Linked DNA regions of Macaca mulatta. The protein of the gene in region 4 purifies or fractionates together with the protein of the main gene of each other region. This does not show direct contact. Links are inferred from orthologs where the notes say so. Each region holds a gene or a part of one and is shown on either strand. Other genes may lie near its edges. The genes, in order: RBBP7, BRMS1, SAP30 and ARID4A.

Region 1 (4,300 bases), on a different chromosome or scaffold from region 4:
CTATCTCGGTCCTGTTAGAAAAAGTCTTGCCAACCAGCGTCCTAGAATATGAGGGCTGTATTGCTTAAACACCCTTCCAACTCTTTTCCCTCTCCAGCCACCCCCTCAGCCTTAGGCACTAACAAGATTCTTTGACCCGGCATAGGGGGAGGGCGTTATAATAATGAACTGTATTGTATCGGAAACAAGACAGTAAATATCTACAGAAGGGAATGTGTGACTGGTTCTGCCACTGACTAACGTCTGGGTTTGCGTCCCGGTCAGAAAAGTGGGCATGACAGCGGCATCTGCAAGATAGCATCTGAGCATGAAGGCACTTGGAAAGGTATCAAGGCAGCAAATGTTCCGGGGGTGCTTTTGCAAGAGGAGCCTCTCTCGGAGCTGGACGTACACTTCGGTTCCCTTTGCACGCAGGCACCTTGGTCGCCTCCCCCAACTCCGTCCCCTCTGCTCCTGGCCCTCATTTTCTTTTATTCCCCTTTTGGCCTTGCAGCCAGTTTTCTCCTCCCCCGATACACTCCCCAGGGGCTATGAAGTTCCCGAGCAGAGCATGGCTCAGGTAAGCAGGCCCAGGGCAGTTCAGCCCTGCTCTCTCCAGCTCCGCCAGCTTGGGGTGGGGTCGCCCTGGGACCCCTGCAGGTGACAAAAATGACTCAGCAGGGGCCGGGGCTGGGATGCGAAAGGAATGCCAGTGCTGGAACAAAATCCCCTGAAGCACGAAGAGGCCTCAAACCATCATCTTAAGGACCCAAACATCGAACAAATTAAAATGTAACAATGTAAATCGGTTTCGGCCCGCCGGCGGCCTGTGCCGCTACAGGCTGCACATTTAGCCTAACAAGGCGGCCCGGCGGCTTTTGCAGGCAAAAAACGCCCGCGGCCTCTCCAGAAGCTCTCTTCCCTCTGAGACCAGCCCCACCTCGGCCCGACCGGGCCCCAGGAAAGGCCAGTCGGCTGGAGGAGAACATTTCAGGGGTGCAGAGAATTGCATGTCCGTGATTATCAGGGAGACTTTGAAGGCACAGTAATCTCTCGAGAACAGGAACCATTTTCCCCTCTTGCTCTGAGATTTTGCTTGGCTAAGCGGCAGCAGCCTCCCTGCCCCCCTCTCACCCCCACCACCGCTGCCGCTACCAGCAACCACGCCCCGCGGGCCCCAAGGCTAGCCGCCCCGGGGCTCGCGGCCCCCGCTCAGCCGGCCAGCCGCGCCTCCATCCACCCCACCCTCGCGCGCCCCCATCCGCCCCGCCCCCTCGGGCCCTCATCCGCCCCGCCCCCGCGGCCCCCATCCGCCCCCGCGGCCGGCCCTGGGAGCACCGGGCGAGCCCTCGCGCCTGCGCATCGCCAACTTCCTGCCGCGGCACGCTCCGCCCACCCCCAGAAGCCCGCCTCCGAACGCCGCGTGAAACCCGCCCGCCGCGCGTCATTGGTCGCGGCGCTGGAGCCGTTGGCTCCCAGACCCGCCTCTCCGCCTCCTCTCACTTTTCCCAGGGCGGATGCGCCTGCGCTTAGCTGCCTGGGCGGGCTGGGAGGCGCGGGTTGAAAAGTCTCGTTCCAAGTTTGGAGAGAGAGAGAAGAGCGCCTCAGACCTCGGTACCCGCGAGCGGGGAGGAGGCAGGAAACAAGGACGCGGCGTCTGGGGAGCACCCAGGCAGCAAGACTGGGCCCGGGCTTTCGACCGCGGGGAGTGTGTGACGCGTTTGGGAAAGGCAGGAGCGCCAGTGGTCGGGCTGCTCTTGGCTAACGAGGGGAGTCCGAGGCGGCGGCGAGGGGCGAACGACCCGACGCAAGATGGCGAGTAAAGAGAGTAAGAGGCCCTGCGGGGCGGCGCGCGCCGGGGCCGCGGGGGGCGGCGGGCGCGCGAGGCCGCGGCACGCGCCGGCGAAAGGCGCGAATTGGCGTGCGGAGCAGGGGGCGGGGCCGGGCGCGAGGCTGGGCGCGCGCCTCGAGGGGCCTGCGCGGGACGGGACCGCCGTGCCGAGGGCTCCGAGCACTTCCGGAGCCGGGCGCGGGGCCGAGGGCTGGGCCCCTCTCTTCTCTTCCCTCCTCCAGAGGCTGCGCTCCCTCCGGCGCCCTCGGCCCCGGGGCGGAGGCGGCCGCCGCCGCCGGGAAGCGAACGCCGCGGCTCCTTCTACGCGCGCGCGTTGACCGCCTCGGGGTCGCGGCCCTTGTCCGGGGGTTGCTGGAGCCCTCAGGCCTATGGCTGCCGAGGCGGGTGTCGTGGGAGCTGGGGCCTCCCCTGATGGGGATTGGAGGGACCAGGCCTGTGGGCTTCTGGTACACGTGCAGTTATCTTCCCGAGTGGGTCGCGCAGCCCCTGTACGTACAGGTCGTCATCTTAGAACAGGTGCGAACAGCTGTAACAGGGTAAACAATTTCCATGTCCGTGTAATTGACTACCCAACATGGTATACGCAGAGGGTATTGATCTCAACGGAAAAAAAGAGGCTTCGTGGTTGGTAGTATTTTCTTCACCTTCTGGAAGAGCAGTTAGTTGTCCGTGTCCAAATTAGAGGTAAAAGGAAAGAGTACATGAGGTGTGGCCATCTTGAGGTGACCTCCAATTTCTGACTTCGATCCATCTCAGCCACTTAATTGTGTGGGCTTTCTCCAAATTTCAGTGTTTGAAGATACTGTGGAGGAGCGTGTCATCAATGAAGAATATAAAATCTGGAAGAAGAATACACCGTTTCTGTATGACCTGGTTATGACCCATGCTCTTCAGTGGCCCAGTCTTACCGTTCAGTGGCTTCCTGAAGTGACTAAGTAAGGGTTTCTGGCAACTTTTTTTTTTTTTTTTTTGCTTAAATTTAACTGTCGTTCTGAATTTCCTAGTTTTGGCGTTTTATACCTAGAACATAAGTATGTAATCAGCCCTTGCATGGGGTGGCAGGTGGTTTTTATTTTCAAAACTTAACGTGATTTATGGGATGATTTCTGGCGTATAGTGTGGTGGTAAAAGGGGAGAAAGAATCCGTTGTGAGATTAATGGTATTTGGAGGAAACACTGAATGTATTTGACAGTTCCTGGGCTCGAATGTAGAGCAGCATCTCTCTGGGCCCAAACTAATGCGTTTCTTTAAAACTTTATTGAAAAAGAGAATATTTACAGAAAAGTTCACACATCATAAGTGTTGTATGGCTTCATAAATTTTTGCAAAGTGAACACACGTAACAGTCACCCAAGATAAATACATTTTAATTGGTAAAGGCAAAAAGACCTTGTCAACAATTGACTAAAGAAAAGATGTTATTGGCTTATGGAATACACTTTGAGATTGCCGTTAGTCTTCATAAGAGTATTCTTTTCTGTTAGATCTACAGTTTCTCTGGTAATAATTGCTGGCATTTATTGAGCACTCAACAGGGCCTGGCACAGCTGAAGAATCTACGTCTTGTTGTAATCCTCACAGTAGTACTATGCTGTAGGTAATTTTCATTATCCTTGTTTTACTGATAGGGGAACTGGGAGTGAGCGTTTAAGTGCCATCCCAAGATCACACAGCTGGTCCCTGCGTTAGTCTGCCTTTCTCATTCACTTGAACCTTTTCTAGTAGGAACTTGACCATGTACTTTTAAAGTGTATTAAATATGGGGCCAGGCACAGTGGCTTATACTCCTGTAATCCTAGCGCTTTGGAAGGTTAGCTTGAGCTCAGGAGTTCAAGGCTGCAGTGAGCCATGATTGCGCCACTGCATTCCAGCTTAGCCAACAGAGAGAGACCCTGTCTTCCAAAGAAACAACAAAAAAGCATCTTAAATTTGAGTGTTGTGGGCATATAATTTAAAGAGGATTAAATGAAACTCTAACCTAAAAAGAGGATTTTGCAACAAGTTATAAAAATAATAAGCTAATTTTGGCTGGGCGCGGTGGCTCACGCCTGTAATCCTAGCACTTTGGGAGGCCGAGGCAGGTGGATTGCCTGAGCTCAGGAGTTCGAAACCAGCCCAGGCAACACGGTGAAACCCTGTCTCTACTAAAATACAAAAAAAAAAAAAAATTAGCCGGGCGTGGCAGCGTGTGCCTGTAGTCTCAGCTACAGGGAGGCTGAGGCAGAAGAATTGCTTGAACCTGGGAGGCGGAGGTTGCAGTGAGCCAAGACCGCACTACTGCACTCCGGCCTGAGCGAGAGCAAGACTCTATCTCTTAAAAATAAAAATAATAATTACAATAATAATCTAATTGTATATAAAACTGCTCTTACAATGGCTAGGTTCTCCATATGCAAACATTGATTTCCATACAGATAGGAATTTCCACTGGGCTTCCCAAAAATCTAAATGTAAATGTACAGATGTGG
Region 2 (4,119 bases), on a different chromosome or scaffold from region 4:
GGGAAAGAGGCAGCAGGAAGCTGAACCCAACCTGATCCCAGATGGGGAAAGCCAGGGAAGTGACTGGCCTGGCCACACCTTGAGCACATACTGGGTGACAAGGGTGCAAATGGCCGTCTGCACCTCTCACAGAAGCCTGGGAGCTGTGGAAATGCTCCTGCTCTTGGATGTCACTGGTGATCCTAATCCTGGGAATACTGGCCAAGGCTGTGATCCACATAAAGGAAAGGCCCAGGGGGCACTCTCCACTGCCTATGGACTGGACCTAAATTTCTTTTTGAGATGGAGTCTCGCTCTGTTGACAGGCTGGAGTGCAGTGGCACGATCTCGGCTCATTGCAACCTCTGCCTCCCGGGTTGAAGCAATTCTCTTGCCTCAGCCTCCCGAGTAGCTGGGACTACAGGCACCCGCCACCACACCCGAACTGGACTTAAATTCCTAACTGGGGCTTTCAAGGTCTTTACCAGACTGGACTTGACCTACCGGTCCAGCAACTTCATCCCACCATATAATGGCTAGTGCCTGCACTTCCACCTTCTGCCCTCTGCCTCAGCTGTTCCTTCTGCCTATAATGCCCTCGGCTTCTCTTCCAGATAACGCTACAATCTCCTTGTCTTTCACTGTGCTCTGGGTCAAATCCCATCTCCTTCTGCCTCCTCTTGGACCGCGGGTCGTCAGTGTTCCCCTCTCTTTTCTGTGTCTTCAGCTTCTCCCTCTTAGCAACCTCCTTCCCATGAAACTTTAGATGTGCCTGGGTATTTTCTAGCATTAACAAAACACAGAAACACAAAACTTCACCCATTCCACCTGACTGCTCCGTTTGCCACTTCACAGTTACGCTTTTCAAGGTCTCATGAACACTGGCTGTTCCTACTTTGACCTCCCAGTCGTTCAATGTCATCAATCTCAGCTGAAACTGATCCCGTAGCATTAACCAGTGACTTCCTTGTGGCTAATGCCAATATTTTTCAGTGCTTATTTTAATTGTCTGCTCGGCAACATTGAACACTGGTAAGCATTCCTTCTTTTACTGACTCATCTAACATGTATTGAACATCTAACATATACTGGGTACTGTCAGACGCTATGGTATGCAGGGGCCCCAAGTGTGACTGTCTTTGACCTCACCGAGTTTACAAGTTCCTGGGAGAGAGGGGCAAAGGAGCACACTATAACCATGATATGAGGAGAGTTAAGACCAGGGGCATGAGGGAGGAGTATATAACCAGGACCTGGAGCCCGATGCAGCAGGGAGGCTTCCAAAGATGGACCAGCTGGGTGAGCTGCACTTACTGAGGGAATATTCCAGGTAGAGTTAGTAGCAAAGACCCAGAAATAAGAGAAGGAAAGCAGCTGGGGGCACATGGGTCTAAGTCTCAGTGAGAAATCTGAGCTGCAGAGATTTGGTCGTCAGCATACAGCAAGTTCTTCATGCCACAGGAGACGGTGCGACTAGCAAGGGAGAATGTGTGCAATCAGAAGACGCCCATAATGGAACTCCCAGGGTTACCAAAGGGGCAGATGAGGAGACCCCTACAAAGGAGGAGGCAAAACCCGAAGTCGTGGAGAAAGAGAATTTCAGAAGAAAGCCAAGTACTGCCAAGTAGTAATTGTACTGATAGTGCCAAGTACTGCCAAGAGATCACCTAAGAGGATGAAAACAGTCCTCTCAGCAGATAATCTCTCAGCCCCCTGCAGGCTTCTATTTTATTGTGTTCTTTCAACTTCTCTGGACACTGCTTGTAGTCCTTTAGTACACTGCAGACGCCACTCCCTCCAGGAAGCTTTGTATCTATTTGCCTATTCTCATGTCTGTTCCCCCAATCAGTCTATGAGCCTCACTAGGGCAGGGGCTGCACACGTACCTTATTTACCTAGCACAGTACTGGTTCACTTGATGACTGGAGGATTTGCAAATACAAATTTAACAACAACAAAAAAATTTTGTGAGGCAGACATTAGCTTTTACTTTTCGGTAGTCCCAGGTCCCTGTGATGGTAGCAAACTTTCCTTGACACCAGTTCAAGTTGTGTATAATAAGCCTGGCCTAGGTGAGCGTTTAGTCATATTCCTCAACAATTTCACTAATGATCTGCACCTGACTTGAAAAGCTCGGTTCTCTAAACCAGCTTCATCTTTCCCGTTATCAAGCCTCAGTTCCCAACACTTGCAATGCCTCTTCACTGTTAGTATATTCACTTTGTAAGACGCAGCTTAAATCTATCTCTTCCAGAAACCTTTCTCTCCTCCAGCTGGTTCTGATTATAAGTGAGTTAAGTCACAATCTTCCCATCTTACCCCGGGTGCAAAAAGCGGATAACCATTCCTGCTCTGAGTGTTGAGGAGCTCGCAGGTGGTAAGGGATGGAAAAGGACATTGTAAAGCGCGGTGGTATAAGGGATGGAAAAGCACATTGTAAAGCGCTGTACACAGGCAATTTAGCTTTTCAGAATGGCAGCTCCTCCGGGGCACGCCCCTAGGGAAGGCAGGCCCTCCTCATTCTCGCAGAGGTCAACCCAGCTTCTCCGCGGTGCCCAGGGGGCCTCCCGCTCGCTTCTAGATGTGCGGGAGCGGGCCGGAACATCGCTGGCTAGCCCGCAGCCCAGCACGCATCAGGCCAGTTAAATCTCTGCTTCGGCCTGGGAGGAGGAGATTGTGCCGGCCCTGCTCGACTAACGGGAGAGGCCGAACCAAAAGCCATGCATGGCGATACGCACCGCGGGGACTGGGGCCTCTGGCCTCAAGACCGATATTCCCTGAGAGGTGCCCGTGGTTGCCGGTACCGGCAGCAGCGCCGGTCTCCCGCAGGCGCTGCGCGGCTCCCTTTTCTCCGGGAGGCAGAGCCTATCGGTGCTTCCGTGTGCGTCATCAGGAGGCGACCGTCGGGGGTGCTCACAATTGGACAGTTTGGTCCCGAGGCATGCTGGGATACCGCGGGCCGGTCTCCATAGTAACTGGCCGACATTCGCGCAGGCCTTTGGCCTGCAGAAAAGGGCCTGCTGTTTCAGTGCTTTGCAGACGGCGCCCTTCGTCCGCTGCCACCTCCCCATGGCGTGCAAGGGGAGAAGCCGGCCCCGAACCCCACCCCCAGCTCAGGAGAGTAACGGAGCCAGCTGTGGGTGTGAACACGCATTTATTTACACATTGTCATCGGTAGGCACATACCCAGCCCAGCCTGTTGAAGGGACAGATCTCAGGCTGTCACCCATGGAGCCTGCAGAGTCTTCCCTCCTCTAGAGCCCTTGAGGGCGAAGGCCTGAGAGAACCAAGAATTTTAGGCTTCTGTTCAAGAGCTAAGAACTAAAGTTTATGCCTTCATCTGATTTCTTTCCAAAAAGTCCATTTCATTAAGTACTCAGACTTCTTAGCTCCATCCCATTCATACTTTTTGCTCTCCTACTACCCACCCAAGATTGTTAATAATAACAATAATAATAACAATAATAATACTGCGATAATATTAATACTTCACATTTGTACGAAGCTTACAGAATGTTTTCACATACAACATCTCATCTGAGCCTCCCGACAGTTCCGTGAGGTAGGTATTCTCACCTCCCTTTTTACAGACAGGGTAACCGAGGCTCAGAGAGGTAACGGGATTTACTCAAGGCCACACAGCTAGTTAGTGGTAAAGCTAGGACTCGATCCCAGCACCCCATATTCAAGTCCAGTGTTTCAACACCACAGCTACCTCTGTAAAGTGGAGCGACATTTTTTACCCCAGTCAGGCCTAAACGGTGGCCTGAGGAGCCCAGAGGCTGACTTCTCAGACTAGGGTAGGGAAGGGCTCAGCAGCGTCGGGGAGAGTTGGGGTACTTGGCCTTCAACTCCTGTTTGAACTGGCGATAAAGGATCTTATTGTGCTGATTTTCGGCCTCCTTTTGGGGATGGAACTTCAACGCTTCTTTGAAGCCCTTATGAACCAAGAAACCTTCGTTCAGGACCTCAAAATCAAACCCCGCCACATGCAGCTCGCAGGCCTGTAGGAGGAAAGACAGGTCAGCAAAGTTTGATGACATTGACAGGGCTGAGACTGACTTCTCTAAAGCCACAGTCCAGCGCTCTCACCCCTCTGGAAGTATCCTGAATCTTCCACACCATCCACCCACCTCCCGA
Region 3 (4,161 bases), on a different chromosome or scaffold from region 4:
AAAACAATTATTTATCACTAAATTTACTTACTAAAAGAACTTGCAAAACAAAACCCTACTGCCTAAAATATATTTTAAAACGTATTTGTGTTTAAGCAGCGTGTATCTTCTGATAAATAATGACGCGTGGTAACTAGTAAAGGCGCAGCTTTCGTGTTAGCCACGCCCATCCCTCGCCCCGCCCTCCACGAGCACCTCCCCCCGCATGCACGCACGGACATACACGCGTACGCGGGCACACACACGTACACACGCGCGCGCCCGCGAACACATACATATAAGCAAGAGCGCACAAACGCGGGCAGCATGCAGGGGCGCACGCGCCTGCCAGGTCTCAGGAAATGCGCTTTCTACTACCCGCGCCGGTAGAGCTAATGCAGGGAAGTTTCTGGGAACAGTCGAGCAGCGTTTGTATTGGTGAGGTTCCAAGTCTCCTTTAAAATGATACGACTCCGCCCTTCTCCAAAACCGTTTGAGGAGAAATGGAAAAGGTTGGGCGTGGAGGTGAAAAGGAGCCCTGTTGTCAGCTGGTCCGTACTCCACCTCAGGAGGCGGCCAACTCCGTGCGTCCAAGAATAAACACATTTCCCTTGTAGGAACATGCAAGGGTTTAGAAACGCCCCCCTGCCCCCCGCGAGGCGTTTGTGAGGGGGACCTGTCACAGTTGAAAAGTCAGGATGGGCGTTTTCCTCCCAGGAGGTGCCCTACTAATTTGCTGCCTCGATAGTTGGTCAAGCCGGGATGTTAGCTGCGGAACCTCCAGGACCGAAGAGCGCCAATTCTCCTGAGTTCTCCTTGGTTTGGGTTTCCCACAAAAGCGCGGTCACACCAAAAGCTGTGTTTCCACAAATGCGAAACGGCCTCGAAACTTTTTTTTCCGCACACGCTCACTTCCCACACCACTCCCATCCCTTTATGTTTCGCCTCAGGAATCGAGTAACTTCTCTGAAACCCAATTCTACGAAATCCCAGCAGCTAAACACAGCCCGACTTCCCTAGAGACAGAGAGAGAGAAAACACTGTAAACCCCAATCACACGCTCCTGTTTTCCCGGTACTGAAAAAAAAAAAAAAAGTGGGTCCGTGGCCGCGCTATGCATGCTAGGATTAGTAGTTCCTCCATCTCGCAGGGCGAAGGGTCAGGGCGGAGCTCAGGTTGACTCCGTAGCAGACAACTACAATTCCCATGGGGCCGCGCGTTTGAAAGAAAGGGGCGGGACGGGAGGGGGCGCGTCGCGCTTGCGCAGTCCCGGGGGCCGGAGGGAGGCGGAGGCGTAGCGGTCCAACTGCTGAAGTCCCCATGTGACAGTGAGCGGGGTCCCGGCTCCAGAAGACGCTAGAGTCTGCGTCCGGGCCCTCAGCACTGTCCACTGTTCCGGGGCCAGCAGAGACCAGCAGGCCCGGGACGGTTGGTGTTTGACCGTGCCGCTAACTTGGTGTACAGAGTGAATTGCCGCTGCCGGAGCGGAGAGAGGCGGAGCGGCCAGGAGAGAGGGGATTTGTGTCAGCGCCGGCGCTCGGGAGCTCGGAGACATGAACGGCTTCACGCCTGACGAGATGAGCCGCGGCGGAGATGCGGCCGCTGCAGTGGCCGCCGTAGTCGCTGCCGCGGCCGCCGCCGCCTCCGCGGGGAACGGGACTGGCGCGGGCGCCGGGGCTGAGGTGCCGGGCGCGGGGACGGTCTCAGTGGCTGGGCCCCCGGGGGCGGCCGGGCCGGGCCCAGGGCAACTGTGCTGCCTGCGGGAGGATGGTGAGCGCTGCGGCCGGGCGGCAGGCAACGCCAGCTTCAGCAAGAGGATCCAGAAGAGCATCTCCCAGAAGAAGGTGAAGATCGAGCTGGATAAGAGCGTAAGTAACCGCGGGATCGCCCTGCCCTCCTGTCCCCTGGTGGGGCCCCAGGAGTCGGGCAAAGGCACGGATTGTCGGCGGGGTCTCCCAGACCTGGCTGCAGTGCGGTCTCGTGGAGTCTGTGTTTGGAAGCAAATAACAAAGTCGCTGCAACTCCGACCGCCACCCCAACACACACACAACACGCACGCTGTCGTTCCCCTTTTCTTTCCCACCCTGCCCCCAGCCTCCCGCTGCCTGCGACTCTCCCGCGCACTGTCTTCCCTCTTCCTTCTCCTCTGCGACCAGGACACGAAACAAAGGGGACCGCCGGACCGAGGGCCCAGAGTAGTTTTCTTGCAGCCCGGCAGCTCTTCTGGAATGGAGGCGCCTTTGTTTCGCTGCCCAAGCTGGTGTTTGGCCCCAGGCGGTGCTAACTCCCCTGGTCTAGGGGAAAGTGGAGGACCTTCGCGATCAAGGAAGATCCTGTTCCTTTCTGTGCTCCGTCTCCTCCGGAGCGGAGTGAGAGGGAAGCCGAGCTCGCCCGCCGCCTGGCAGTGAGCCGGGGCTGTAAACGGCGTTTGCGCTGTCAGCTCCGAGGGCAGCTGCTCCGATGGTGGGGAGCACGTAGCCTCTGCGGTTTTGCCATCCCCTTGGCAGCCATCAGGATTTCTTTTTTCCTCCTCCTGCGCGTCTTTTCGTTTGACCATCTAACAGCCGTTGCTACTTTTGGGAGATCTGGCTAGCGGTAAATGAATAACATGGTATCAAGAACCTACCACAAGTCCTGCGTATTTTTATCTTGCGCTTGGCTTCGAAGTAAATGTAAAAGCCTGTTAGCTCAGTCCGTATTTGTTTCAAATGTTAGTCTACAGTTCGCAGGAGTGTGTGTAATTAAAGTTTTTGAAAAGTTTATTTGTGATACTTTTTTGCCCGTTTAAACAGTTTTCAGTGTTATCCGTGAGAAACTTTTCAGGTGAACTTGCATAATTTCAGATTGCTTTGGGAAAATGTGTTATAAATAAATACATTGATTTAATTTAATATTCAGAAAAGTTGATAACTGAAATTTAAATATAGTTATGAAGTCGATAGCTCATTTGTAAAAACGGATGGTTTTGTATCCGGAATATAATTTGGGCATTCAGTTGGAAAGACTGGAAAGCATACATTATGTTACAAAAATATGCTCTTCTTTAAGTAGAGAAAGTACTGTCAAGTAGCAAAAGTGGGCAGCATCATCTTTCCCCTTAACAGTTAAAAATTCAACATGAACTAATTCATGTCATCCTCACTGCTATTTATTTATTTATTTATTTATGTGAGACAAAGTCTCACTCTGTTGCCCAGGCTGGAGTGCAGTGGCGCGATCTCAGCTCACTGCAACCTCCACCCACCAGGTTCAAGTGATTCTCCTGCGGTAGCCTCCTGAGTAGCTAGGATTACAGACTAGTGCCACCACGCCCGCCCAATTTTTTGTATTTTTAGTAGAGACGGGATTTCACCATTTTGGCCAGGCTTGTGTGGAACTCCTGAGCTCAAGAGGTGCTGGGATTACAGGCGTGAGCCACCGCGCCCGGCCCCTCACTGCAATTTGATGCCAAAACCCAGAGGGTTGGAATTTCTCATTCTCCTCTCCCTCCCTCCCTTCACCCCTTCCCCAAATGGAACCAACCCCTCCTTCCCCATCCACCATCCTTTTAACAGTATTCCAGACTTCTTATGTTTTAACAGGGTTTAGGATTTAAATGTATAAATATTTCATTGTGTTAACAATGGCCATCTTGACTGTCTTTATTTTTACTATCTGTGGCATATGTGTTTTACTAATACATAGACACATTTTACTGTAATCATTAGCAGTGTGTGAAACTTTTCTGTTTCAGGCAAGGCATCTTTACATATGTGATTATCATAAAAACTTAATTCAGAGTGTTCGAAACAGAAGAAAGAGAAAAGGGAGTGATGATGATGGAGGTGATTCACCTGTTCAAGATATTGATACCCCAGAGGTAAATGGAAGTTTTTTATGCTTAATATAAATCCTAAGTAGTGCATTCTGAAACCTTTATAAAAAGATATGAACAATCTTTTAAGTGTTTAAAACATTTGAGAAATCTGAAAATGAAAGCAAAATTAAATATAGCCAGTTGTCATGCATTTACACAGTTTGAATTGTTACATTTTAAATTGACAATTTTTGCGGCTCTGTTGTCACATAACTTACTCTTTTTTGACCTCAGTTTATATTATTAATCCCCAAAAGATTAAACTGTTTAATAATTTATAGGTTTGATTATGTAAATTTTTTAAATAATTTTTTTGATTTTGGAAG
Region 4 (4,136 bases):
TTTTAAAGTTGTAATTCAAAATTATCAGTGAGTAAATATAATGTTTTTTTTTCCAGATACAAAATTTTTCAAAAATTCTATTTATATAAGCAGAAAAATAAAAAAATCAGAAAAAATATTTCATATTACACATATCATAAAACTAAGTTATTCATTTAGAGCTTCCTGAAATTTTGCAAATTAAAATAAATATTGCTACTAACATTAACACTAACAATATATAATTGTTTATTGACAAAGGTACATAAAGGTAACATCTTTTCATAAGGAGAGTATCAATTTGGAAAATTCATTTGCTAAAACCTGCATTTGAAAGGTTTTAAGTCTGAATTCAGCTGATGAATGCAGATATGAACCGATGGTTCAAGATCTGTAGACGTACCTAGTTTACCACACTGATCTTCCTAGTATAAAAAAACAAGCGTTACTAAGAAACATCTACTTTCAGCAAATGGACATGACCAGAATGATACATAGAATGATGCAAGAAATTTCACTCTACCATTCATTTTAATCTTTACAGTAACAGGATGATTGCTATCTCAATCTGTCATTTTACCTTTTTTTTTTTCAGAAGTTAAAGTGTATCCATACAAGTTCAACTTAACATTGTTAAGTGCAAAGTTAACAGTGTACACTTTGGAGATAACGTTTTTAAGTAGAAAATGATTTTTTGTTTTCTAATAAGTTTTCCCAAGTAATATTAAAGAATGTTAAATATGTCATTTACTTGGAGAAAATAGAAAACCATGAGAAAGTTTGGGAAAATGCTATATTTCAGAGCTTAATATACTGAAACAGTAAATAAGACAGGAATTGGCTACCTTTTAAGAACGTTTACAAAAAATACAAATTGAATAGGAATGCTTTTGGCAAATAAAAATCTGACCTGAAACATTCAATGGCCACAGCATTCAAGAATGCTATATGAGATCCTTTCCCTTTAACCATCCACATATTGATATTTGCAGTCATCCTCAGTAGAATATGTATCTTTTTAGAATAAGTATATGTTTTAAAATATTTACTGGAAAGATTTAACTGAAACTATTATTATAGTTCAACTTCAAATATTTTAGCCACATAAGTTCACTTTACACACAGAAGAAATGACACCTTCTTTACTTAATTACTTAATCCACGTACTCTTTCTTTTACAAAATCGCATTGGCACTGAGGAAGAAAAAAATTTTCGAAAAATCCCCCAAAGAACCAAAGCAGGACAAAAGCTTTACTTCTGCAAAGGTTGCTGCCAACACAGGAAGTGTTTAAAAATACTATCCGAATGGACAACAATTGAAAGGCTGCACCAGCCTTTCCAAAGTACTGCCACAGAGAGGGCCCAAACTCCGCATTTAGACACACAGATCATTTCTCACCCATTCAACACATCCTCCTATGCCGAAACTGCTGATCAGTAGGAACATCAATTTTGAGGAGCAAAACAAATGACATTCCACGGCACTAGCCTTACGACTGGCAGTGTCCAAGGCGCGAGGATCGGGGCAGCGTTGACTCCACTTACCTTCATTTTTGTTGGTGATCTGTGGGGTTCCAGCTCAGCGAGCTATCGTCGCAGTCGCTAGAACTACGGGGAGGGGGAAAGAGGCACAGACAGAATCAGTCAACTGCGGGGAGCGACCAAGGGAAAGAAAGTAAACAAACGCCAGCGGGGAGGGGCAGAATCCTCACCAGCCAAGGAACAAGACCCCTTCTGAGGGCAGCCAGGATGCAGGAGCGGAGGGGGCAACGAGAACCCCACGCGCGCCAAAGGGCAGCCCGTTCCGCCCCGGAGCTTGCCAGAGGCCCACCGCGCCCCCGCCTCGCTGGCCACTTTGACCCGGAATGCTGAACTCGGAGCCCCAGGACAGATAGCTCCGGAAAAGGGCAGGGCGCCGTTCGGGCTTCCCCAGGTCCCCCGCGGAGGCGACCGCCGAGCCTCCGCACCGCTGTCCCCTGGATACCCCGACTTCGGCCCGCGCCCCGCCTCCGCTGCTCGGCCCCCTCGGCCCGCCCCGGGCCCGCGGTGGCGGCAGCGGAGTGTCACGGCGCCATTGCTCTCCTTCCTTTGCTCTGCACCATATCAGGAAGGAGAAGCGCTCCTTCACCCAAAGGGGCAGGGGCCGCGGCCTTCAGCCGGGAGCCGCCAGAGCCCCGGGAGACCCGCGCGGGGGAGGGGGCGGGGGACTGAGGGGAGGAGGAGGGGAGGTGGCCCGGACAGGGTGTGGGAGGGGAGGGGAGCCGCACCGCAGCAGCCGCTGCCTCCTCCCAGCGCCCGCCTCAACTTTTTGTACAGCCCAGAGACGTATCAGCTCGCAGCCCCTCGAGTCCTGCCACGGACTCCGCAGAGGTGGACGCGCCGCGGAGTTGGGGAACGGCTCCCCCAAGCAGCCCGCTCCTCACGGCGCGGAAGCAAACTTAGCGGCGCGGCCAGCCCCACAGCCATTTTCCCGGGAACCCGGGGAAGCGGACGAGGCGGCTGCAGCTGCGGCGGCGGTTCCTGCAGTTGCTGCCGCTGCTCCATGGCTGGCCCCTTCTCTTGCGCTCGCCGCGCCACTTGCCTAGCATCCCTCTCCCCACCTCCGAAGCTTCCAACTGCACCGGGACCCCGGGCAGCAGCAGCTGCTGCCACTGCCGCTTCATCCATTCAGTATCCCCCGATTCCCCTCTCCCCGCCTACCAACTGCGGGTGAAGTGCGCACTGTCAGCTCCAGAGTCCTCCTCCCCTCTGACCTCCGTGGGCCCCCGTCCGGGCAGCACCACTCCCAACCGCGGCTGCAGTTCCTGCGCCCGGTTCCCCACTCGCCCCGATTTACTGCCACAATCCACCGAATAACAAGCTGTTGAGCAGACTCGCTTCTACACGAACTCCTATTGGCTGTTCATGACGCCGAAGAGCTTCGGATAGGACCTCGCTACCTGCCGTCCTCATTGGATGTAGCTCTGAAACTTCATGGATTGGTGCGAAAAACAGCAGGTAGGACATCTTCCACTTATGATTGGCTTTTTCCGAAGACCAACGTTATTGGAGAGTTGGTTATTGAGTAAGCAAGTCTTGAGAAATGATTGGTAGAGACGACTCCGGATGTGCTTGACTGGGCACTGATTGGTGAATTGAGGGGTCAGGAAGAGCAGTTCGGCACGAGGATTGGCGGCGGAGTGTCCCATGGAAACGGAACCCAGAATTGCAGCCAGGGGCTTGCACGGGGGCGGGGCAGGGTCTTTCCAAGGCGCCTGCGCTAAACCAGGTTCTCGGCGCCATTTTGTCTCGGCAGCGGTCGCCGTAGCTCCATCGCATTTTATGTTTCTGGCAAGAAGGGAACGGAGTTTTCATCAGGTAGATTGGTTTTTGTGCGTCCGTCCTCCACCGTTTCCTCCAGGACAGCACCTAGTCTTGGCCGGAGGAGTCTCAGAGCTGTCAGAAAGGTCAGTTGGAGGCTATGGTTGTCCGATTGACTGGGGGGGATGGCGCAGCCCTAGCGGCACCGGCACCGGAAGTGAAGGGGCCGCAGGAAGCCATGGTAAAAGTTCTCCTTGCGGCGGGGTGGGGAGAAGGGGCGGGATGAATGGGGGCGAGGCTTCCTCTCCCGCCGAGAGAAAGAGGTGGAGGAGAGGCAAAAGTCTTTCTTGGCGGTGCTTTTTCGGGCTTTCGAGAATGTGAGAGATTTTCTGAATTCTGCCTCTGTCTGAGCAGTCTTTCCTGTCTTTGGAAGTGCATTTTGGATACTTGCCATATTCTCCACCTGATTGGCACAAACTATGGGAGTCTCCTTAGTTAAGACAGGTCAGAAGTGATTCTTGGAAACATTCTGCATGGGTAGAGGTTTCCGCGTGCTCCTCACGCGAAAAAGCTATGAGGAAACTGGAGAAAGCGCTGGCTTTTTGGATGCTGAGGAATTTACTTGCCAGCACAGACGGTGCTTCTGTGACCTTAGACAAGCGTCTGTGTCACTCTGCGCGAGGCTTATGCTGCTTTTTGAAAGGAAAGATTGGTTGTGCAGGGACTGAAAACATCTTAAAAGGACGTCCCCGATAAGATAGACGTTGGTCTTGTTCTGTTAACATTTTGTATTCTGTTAAACGAAACATATTTTTAAATAGTGGAATTGGAGTATAAATTGGCTAGTTGTTTTATA

What was found.
Region 1: the proteins of ARID4A (region 4) and RBBP7 purify together in Homo sapiens (affinity purification with mass spectrometry; 4 studies listed by BioGRID and IntAct, counting the BioPlex papers as one, with this or other methods). This does not show direct contact. The link is inferred for Macaca mulatta from reciprocal best matches to the Homo sapiens genes ARID4A and RBBP7.
Region 2: the proteins of ARID4A (region 4) and BRMS1 purify together in Homo sapiens (affinity purification with western blotting; 3 studies listed by BioGRID and IntAct, with this or other methods). This does not show direct contact. The link is inferred for Macaca mulatta from reciprocal best matches to the Homo sapiens genes ARID4A and BRMS1.
Region 3: the proteins of ARID4A (region 4) and SAP30 purify together in Homo sapiens (affinity purification with mass spectrometry; 5 studies listed by BioGRID and IntAct, with this or other methods). This does not show direct contact. The link is inferred for Macaca mulatta from reciprocal best matches to the Homo sapiens genes ARID4A and SAP30.

Annotation. Positions count from the first base shown.
Region 1 is NC_133426.1:16,538,299-16,542,598, reverse strand, and holds the start of RBBP7 (histone-binding protein RBBP7), read left to right. Parts: upstream 1-1,446; 5' UTR 1,447-1,791; coding exon 1,792-1,807; intron 1,808-1,860; exon of another isoform or gene 1,861-2,199; coding exon of another isoform or gene 2,200-2,347; intron 2,348-2,621; coding exon 2,622-2,766; intron 2,767-4,300. UniProt on the Homo sapiens protein: Core histone-binding subunit that may target chromatin remodeling factors, histone acetyltransferases and histone deacetylases to their histone substrates in a manner that is regulated by nucleosomal DNA.
Region 2 is NC_133419.1:8,078,807-8,082,925, reverse strand, and holds the start of BRMS1 (breast cancer metastasis-suppressor 1), read right to left. Parts: upstream 2,807-4,119; 5' UTR 2,718-2,806; intron 1-2,717. Other genes in the region: B4GAT1 (beta-1,4-glucuronyltransferase 1), read right to left, coding at 3,792-3,983. UniProt on the Homo sapiens protein: Transcriptional repressor. Down-regulates transcription activation by NF-kappa-B by promoting the deacetylation of RELA at 'Lys-310'. Promotes HDAC1 binding to promoter regions.
Region 3 is NC_133410.1:181,801,529-181,805,689, forward strand, and holds the start of SAP30 (histone deacetylase complex subunit SAP30), read left to right. Parts: upstream 1-1,311; 5' UTR 1,312-1,532; coding exon 1,533-1,847; intron 1,848-3,712; coding exon 3,713-3,838; intron 3,839-4,161. UniProt on the Homo sapiens protein: Involved in the functional recruitment of the Sin3-histone deacetylase complex (HDAC) to a specific subset of N-CoR corepressor complexes. Capable of transcription repression by N-CoR.
Region 4 is NC_133412.1:131,422,895-131,427,030, reverse strand, and holds the start of ARID4A (AT-rich interactive domain-containing protein 4A), read right to left. Parts: upstream 2,856-4,136; 5' UTR 2,681-2,855; intron 2,190-2,680; exon of another isoform or gene 1,693-2,189; intron 1,589-1,692; 5' UTR 1,532-1,588; coding exon 1,526-1,531; intron 1-1,525.